Oryzias latipes: one gene and its partner. The protein of the gene in region 2 interacts with the protein of the main gene of each other region in a biochemical or structural test. Links are inferred from orthologs where the notes say so. Each region holds a gene or a part of one and is shown on either strand. Other genes may lie near its edges.

The links.
Region 1: of the proteins of card11 (region 2) and prkcq, one has a biochemical effect on the other in vitro, tested with the Homo sapiens proteins (2 studies listed by BioGRID). The link is inferred for Oryzias latipes from reciprocal best matches to the Homo sapiens genes CARD11 and PRKCQ.

Annotation. Positions count from the first base shown.
Region 1 is NC_019881.2:20,888,598-20,893,146, reverse strand, and holds the start of prkcq (protein kinase C theta type), read left to right. Parts: upstream 1-1,571; 5' UTR 1,572-1,737; intron 1,738-4,549. UniProt on the Homo sapiens protein: Calcium-independent, phospholipid- and diacylglycerol (DAG)-dependent serine/threonine-protein kinase that mediates non-redundant functions in T-cell receptor (TCR) signaling, including T-cells activation, proliferation, differentiation and survival, by mediating activation of multiple transcription factors such as NF-kappa-B, JUN, NFATC1 and NFATC2.
Region 2 is NC_019866.2:18,997,781-19,001,601, forward strand, and holds part of card11 (caspase recruitment domain-containing protein 11), read right to left. Parts: coding exon 3,713-3,821; intron 2,531-3,712; coding exon 2,287-2,530; intron 2,171-2,286; coding exon 2,095-2,170; intron 1,900-2,094; coding exon 1,804-1,899; intron 1,721-1,803; coding exon 1,603-1,720; intron 1-1,602. UniProt on the Homo sapiens protein: Adapter protein that plays a key role in adaptive immune response by transducing the activation of NF-kappa-B downstream of T-cell receptor (TCR) and B-cell receptor (BCR) engagement.

The DNA of each region.
Region 1 (4,549 bases), on a different chromosome or scaffold from region 2:
CTGACTGCATGCGGGACATGACAGGAGGTGGAGACCGTCAGTTCCGTCAGTTCCAGAAAACATGTCATAGCAGGAAATTGAATCAAAAAAATGCAAACAGAAAGTGTCTCTTGTGTCAACAGCAGAGAAAAAAACAAAACAAACAGGAGCTACTTTGCTCTTAGTGCTGCTGTAAAACAACAAATTTCACTTCCTGACATGATTACAGCCCAAAAACTCACAAACTTTCATCAGCATCAAGTCAACATCTTTTATGGAGTTAACAAAAAAAAATACCTATTTGGTGTAAAACACACATAAAATAGTCAACTTTAGTCAGCACAATTCAAACTGAATAATTGTTTTAAAAACCGTCAAACTTTAGAGTTTTGTATCAAATTTATGTGTCTATAATTTGTAAATTGTCTGCATTTGTTCCCATAAATAAAATAAATATGACCAACTTTTAAATGTTATGCATTAAAATGAAAAACAATTATATTGAAGGAATCTAAAGTTTAATTTAAATTTTAATTATATTTATACATCCTTTTAATTTATACTAATATAAAAAAAGTTATCACTGTAGAAAAAACACTTTTTTTGTACTTAGAAAAGGAAACATTTAAGAGTTTCGTCAAAATTTTTAAGGCCCTGTTTAGGTGCACAATCGTTCATACACATCGTTCCCACAGCAACAACCTCCCACCACCGTGCTTCACTGAAGGATAGTTTGGAGTTTCGGGCTTGGTTTTTATCCACTCAGATTTGGATCAAACTTCTCCAAAGATTCTGGAAGTTTTTCCTTTTTGTCAGTGAGATGAAACTGTAGTACAGCTTTTCCCCTGAAGATGTCGCCATCCAACGATGTAACATTCTTCCAACAAATGTGACAGAAGACCCTCTAAATTAAAATTTTAAACCAAATTTCTTACAGTTTTCCATTTCTGTTTTTAAGAATACAAATATTGGAATAAAAATATTATAATATATCAATTGACAATATTTTTACTATTAAAAATCTCAATTAAATTTGAATGAGTCTGACTCTTTTAAATCACATTTGAATTTTTCTTTTAATTTGTTAAAAGTGTCACATCAAGTTTGTCATTGTTTTAAATGTTAAACTTGACCAAAAAAGCTCCATGTAGCTTAGTAAGAGGTAATAATTAATTTAAATAAATGGTAAGGGATAATAAAACTACTCAGAGGAAAACTATAAATGTAAATGATGTCTTTCTCTTTTTCCTGTGATGACGAATTTTACTGAGGAGTTTAAAGACTTGTGGGGCGGGAAATTCTCTATTGTTCTTCTGTTTGTTACAGATGTGTATTTGATATTTGCAGTTGTGTTTTTTATTGCATACCTAAAAGTACATCCTTGTAAAATGACAGAATGTGCAATAAAGTTTATTAAAAAAAATAATAATAAATTATGGGGCGGGAAATGACGTTTTTAGTTCTGTTTATCTGAGACCGTAGGAGGAGTAAAAGCCCAAAACTACTTTTTGTCTTTAAGCGTCTTCGGTGAGGCTCTGAAGTCGAACAAGGCACCAACAGAGACCCTCTACTTATGTTTTCCATTATTTATTTATTCCTTCAAAGCAACCTCACGTCAAAAATGAGTACCTGCAAAACGGGGGAAATTCGGGGAGTCCGTGAACGCACCATGGTATCAGCCTTTTAAACCTGGCGCGTGCTTCTTCTGATGTGTCGCGCGGCGCGGTTGAGGGCAAGAACGTCGCCTGTCTTCGTGAGGTGAGACTTTCAGTTTGAGCTTTTTAAAGTTTGCTAAAACTAAAATGTTGGAATCCGCGGCGCTTTGAAGTGGCGCGAGCGCTTTGGCACGAGGACTCCATCAGAAAATGAGGAGAAGTTTGGCTTGTTGGATCCTTGTATTAACAGGATTTATGCCTTAGCAGTTTCGGGGCGAAAATGGTGATCTAAACGCGAAATCTTTGAATTTGGTTTAATACTTAGTACATTTTTGTGTAAAAATAGACTCAGAGTTTTTGTGCTGGTTAGTGCCTCAATGATAAAACCCTGAATCCATTTGTTTGTTTGTTCAAAAACAAATCGCTTGAGAAACTTTAAATATATAATAATCTATGTTTTTAAATGTAAAGAGAGTAAAAATCAGGTTTCTTTTGAAAATGAAAGATGAGAGTCCTGCTTTTGGTGATTTTTATCTTTTTGAAGCATTTTTCTATGGATAGAGGACATTTACTTGGAAAATGATGCTTAAAATTGAATTTAAGTACCGGTATTTTTTTATTCAAACTGTTGGGAATCAGCCACAAGCTCCCTGCTCCGCCCCATTCTGATGCATCCACTTTCAGATAAGTAGATCCATGAATGTCTTTGTTTTCCTGAGCTGGAATCTGGATAAACTGTATCGCTGGATAGCTTTGATACTGCTGTTATTTTTACTGTTAGGAAGCTAGCAGGAGAGCATATAAACAGAGAGCTCTCATTTATGGTTTGGAGGGGCAGGGTTGCTGTGCAGCAACAGTCCCACCCAAAACTCAGAGATTGTTATTATTAATATTACTGTTTTTATTACTGCCGCTCTGCAGAATCCATGTCCTAGAAAACAACAGTTTATTTTTATTTGTAGCTAATTAAAAGACGATTTGGAACGCTTTGAAACAGATCAAAAGATGATCAAAGCGGAACTTCAGTTTACTTATAGAGGAAACACTTTCACACCACTTTACTTGATCTAGGCTGCACATCGCAAATGTTTTGTTATCGCAATATCAAACTGTGCAATATGCATATCGCAAAAGACAGCAAAAATAACGATAAAAGGTTAACGAGCCCTTTTATGTTAGATGTTCGCCTCCTATGTAGATGATGGTCATCTGGAGGATCATTTTTTTAATTTTTGCAGTGAAATGGAAATAATGTTTTTGGTTGTTGTGCTATCTGTTCATGTACCACGTCATCGCAATATTGATCAATAGTATCGCATATCATGAGTTTTCGTCATATTGTGCTGCCCTAACTTGATCCCAAATAAACAGTCATGTATGATAGTGGTAGTTTCATGGTGTGGGACTACTTTAATTTAAAAAACCCTCCTTCCGCTTGCTTTCAGGGCCACTTCTGAGAGAATCACATGAACGTTTTTGAATCCAGGTATAACACTAGATGCTTAATGGTTTGTTTTTATATTATTTATTATTATTATTATTTATGTAAACCAATTTGTGTTATACTTTTATATGAAAAGTGCTTTATAAATAAAGTTCAAAAGTTTGATTCATACTTATTCTGCAAAGTTATAGTAAAGCATGGTAGTGGTTAGGGCTGCACGATATGAGGAAAACTCGCGATATGCGATATTGGTGATTAATATTGCGATAACGATATAAATTGTGGTATATAAACAAATAGCAAAAAAAACAAAAACATTTTTTCCATTTCACTGCAACAGTTTAAAAATTATACTCCAAATGACCCTTGTCGACGTAGGAGGCAAACATCAAACATAAAAGGGCTCATCTGATTGGTCAACAACGTAAACGGGTCCTTCCGATTGGTTAAATGCATGAAGGGATTTATTTCATTTGCTCAATATTTCAAGCTGCCATGAGATTGTTTTAGCACATTTAAGGTAACCATTTATTGCGATTTTCGCCGTCTTTTGCGGTATGCATATTGAACAGCTTAATGTCGCGATAACGATAAATTTGCGGTATATTGTGCAGGCCTAGTAGTGGTAGTATAATAGTGTGGGACTGCTTTGATTAAAAGCAAACAGGAAAAAAAAACTCCACCTGCTCCCTTGCTGATCAACCTCTGAGAAAATTACATGAAGGTTTTAGACTTTGTGTAAATCTAATGAAATTCTGCTAATGAGTTAGTTAATTGTTAGTTAATAGTTAATTAACAGTTAATTAACAGTCAACAGTGAGGTAATGGTAGTTACCATAGTTACCAGTTTGTCAATAGCTGGATAACCTAACGATAAGATCTCTGCATGTTGTTGTTTATTATTTTTCCATATTACACTTTTATACATTTTGGATCTTTGAAGGAACATATATTCTAAAAATAAGTCTATCTTGGGGGGGGGGGCTCTGCTCTTTTTGATGGACAGACTCTTTCATGGAAGTCTGATCTTCTGGGTTTCCGTCAGCAAAGACTCACCCCCTCCTGACAACAACAAAGGTGTCTCCCCGCCGGCCCCCGCTTCAGAGGCGCCCCCACGCTGCGCTTCATAGCCGCACAGGTTCGGAGCTGCCCCGCTCATGAAAGCCTCCACAAAGGCCTCCAACCTCCTGACCTTCTTCACATCTCTGTGTTGGAGCCCGGGTGGGGGGGTGACATTTGCTGATCCCTGCTCATGTTGAGGTCTGCGGGCTCTCGATCAAACCCTTCTGCTCTCTGGAGACCAAAGCATTTCCACTTTTCGCTCCCTCATCTGCTTTCATTTAGAGTCCCGTGTTTACAACAAAACGCCACATTAACGCGAAAATTGCGTTAAATGGTTATCTTAAATGTGCTAAAAATATCGTATGGCAGCTTGAAGTATTTAACAAATCAAATGAATCCGTTTTTGCAT
Region 2 (3,821 bases):
TTTCCTACAAAAGGCTTAAGAAAAGCATGGCCCTGTAAAAGAGGGAAACCTGTTTTCTACCTGGTTTGGTTTCATTTGTTATAACTTGAGGTTTTATTTTTTTCATACATTTTGCTCTTTTGTTATTTCGTTTGGTAATCAAAGCAATGGTAAAGACATTACAGTCTACCAGTAAATGTAATTTTTTTAACATTTCAAACACTCTTGCTCTGTTTACTTCAAAAGACATTTTTGCTTTGCTTTCATCTTATTCTTCAAACAGCTTTCTTCTACCTCCACCGAGACTTCAACCCCCTTCTAGCTCTCACATTTTATTTTTAGAAATCTTTCATTTTCTATGTGTGATCCTCTGGTTTTTTAGAGCACAAGTCTTAACTCCCACACAAACAAAGCTTTCATTTTTTCTTTGTCATCTAAAACTTTTTCTGCCTCCTGGAGAGATCCATCTATTTTTCACTAATTTGATAAGAGTTTTTCTCCTTTGTCTTTCTAATGAATTCATCAGCCTACAGAGCATCAGCCATGAATTAATAAAACAATAACACAGCTTAACAAAAGCTTAACATAAATATTTCTAGTCAGCCTTCAGAAAAATGTTATATGGTAGATGTAAGTAATACTGATGTTACAAAATAAAAACAGATTTTCTGAGAACTTTAATCAAACTAGGAAGTGGCTACTTCTGCAGTTCCTCAAAGAACCACCAGAGGCAGGTTTCAAAACCTTCCAGTAAACCACTGTGTTAAATAAGGTTCAGAGCAGAATAACACACAAAAAATACACTTGTGCTCTGCCTGGTCAAAAAACACTTCTTAATATTTGGTGCTTTTATTTGCAGCTCTAGGGGCAGCAGGGAGGGAGGGGATTATCTTTCAATTATAAGAAATCAAGGCAGATTGGGTGATTGGGTGAAGGTTGCAGTCTTGGGTGGCCTAAAAAAAACAGAATCTCTATGGTCTTTCTTGATTGACAGTTCTCCAATTGTTGAGTGAATAGGAGTTACTCTGTATGTTCATGCCACTTTTTTAGCCCTTGTGCTATCCTAGGCACTTTAACATTGGAAGTTGGGTCATCTAGACCCCTGAACTTTTTTCTTCAATGATTTGTAAACTTCACTGGTGTCCATGGATTACATGAAATCCTCTTCACCGTTATCCACCTTTGTCATGGTAGGGAGAACACGTCAATGTAAGGGTGGGGTCATAGGATAGCACAAGGGTTAGGCATTCATGTTCATCATTTAGAATCCTACAGGTAACATCAGAGACAATTGGTTCCGTTAATATATGAATTAGTCTATAAATACAACATAGTTGCCACCTTAAAATAAATTATTAAAGAAATCTTGACCATCAAACAGTAAGAAGAAGAATATATTTATTTCCCTTTAAGCTTCTCTCAGTTTGACATAAATATCTGAATATCTGAATTTATGCTAGGCTTTGTGGTTCCAGACTTTTGATTTTGATTTTTTTATGTCCTAGTAGGTCCTAAACAGGAATGCAATGATTTATCTGAGAATCGTGGCATCCCTAGTCCTAAAATCAAACCAAGGTCCGTCATTCCCCTTACATCCATGAAAAGCATTGTTTCTATGCTCACCTTCAGGCCTGAGCATCTCCAGTTCTTGTCTTGGTAGTAATGAGCTGCCAGAGTTGACAATCCTCACGCGTTCATTGCTGTTCATTCGTTTGTATTTGATGTCCACCCTGCCGACGAACTAGAAACCCAAGAAACCCACAAGAAATGGCACATCAGGGCTCAGATTGACTCATGAGAGTGGGATTGGTTTTCTTTAAATACCTGCAGAATCTGACTGAGGAAAATGCTCGCTCTGGACAAGCGTGGACTGGCTTTGGGATCGAGAGACGAGCTTGTTTCTTCTGGCGCTAAAGTGTTCTAGACAAACATAAAGAATTAATAGAAAGAATATCAGAATCTTTAAGCTGCAAAAGGTAAAGAAGACACAGTGTTTGACCCAAATCGAAGCTAACTTACTAAGTGTCTGCTGAAATCAAATAGCATTGATATGAAAAACTATACAATTGTTTTGTGTAATATGTAGCTTGAATATAAAATCAAGTTTTCACTTACTCTGCTATTGTCAATTTCTTCTTTCCCACTTCGACACACCAACTTTTGAATCTTCACCAGCAGCAGCTGCTGTGCTCTGTACACACCCATTCATACCAAGAGAAAAGTCTTAACAAAACCAAAACTCCTTTTGTCCATTATAAAACATCCTCCTGCATGAGAAAGAACATTAAACAAACAGTTGCAAAGTACCTTGAGTTGCTGGGAATGGTGCCACGCTCGGCCAGGTCAGAGCCACTAAATGGCTCCACACGAGCACAAAGCCACTGGCAGAGGCCCTGGTGCCTGGTATCCAGCACGTGCACAACTTCATCGCAGCGCACGCTTAAAGAGCAGCAGTCGGATTGTCCGGAGATGTTGAGGTTTACTCGGATGTAGAAAGAGTCGCCAGAAGCTAATTTACCATCTGCTAGATCCCTCTGGAGACGGCGATATGCTGGAGAGCAGAAACACAGCATTAACGCACTTTTAAAACAAGACAGACCAGAAGACTAGATTTGACTGGAAGTTCAGAAAAAAATAAATGGTTTGATTTGCTTTCACACTAAAGTTTAGAAAACTGAATAAGTCTAGATGGAATCAAAATATCACGCAGTTTAAGTTAAACTATACATCCTATTAAAGTATTTTTTAAACCCATTTCCTGTCTATATTATCCTCATCCACAAACTAGCCATTTATCCAACTGTAGTGATCCACACTCCTTCATATCTTAGCTGTGGATCATTTTATTTTCGCCTAAAATTTGAAGCCACTTTTGTGATTTCAATAAGTTTACTTCCTCTCTTTAACCCACAGAACAGTCCATTGTATCTTTACTGTGGTGACCACATCAGGGTTCACTTGCAAATTAACAGAGATCCGTATTTCCTGTTTTCTGTGACACAGTTCAAAGATGCACTCCGATCATCTTTTGATCTATTTTCCAACTGTTCCCAGTGGTCTTTTCATTTTGATTATGCCACTTTTAGCCAAAAACAAAAAACTTGTCTTGTTTTCTAGGACATAATTCTGCAAACATTAGAAATTTACCATTGCGTTGTGGGCAGGAAAAATGGCATGGAGCAACCCCGCCCCCTTCCCTTCCCCATTACTGAGAGCTCTCTGTTTACATGCGCTCCTGCTAGCTTACAGCCCCAACATAACATTACCGGTGCAACAAAAATGGTAAGCAGTATTGGAGCTATGCAGCCGTACAGTTTTGAGCCAGATTCCAGCTCAGACAAGGAAAACAAAGACAAACATGTAAGTGATTGTCTACAAGTGGATGCATCAGAACGAAGCTTATGACCCATCCAGCATATTTTCTACGACACAAATAGGCTCTGCTCATTTTCATCTGCCCCCTATTGACATAAAATTGAAAAAAGAAATACTCAGAAATGCCATTTTAAGCTTATTTTATATATATATATATATACACACATACACATACATACATATGTGTATATATGATGATAAGAGAAATGCCACAAAAACATGTTAAAAACACCATTTTCATCAGAGTGTTTCTTTAAATGAGCTTTTACACCTGTCAGACGAGGTAAAATATCCAAATTACCCAATTTTTGTTAGACATTACTGGGTAGATTTTCTGTTTATTTCTAACAATGGTTACCATCAAAACTGGCTCGATAGTGCAGTGTGATGAATCCAGAGCAGTGCTGCAGCGTCCAGTGGGCTTCTTCCTGTGTGCTGGTATCCAATGCAATGCGTTGGATTTCCCC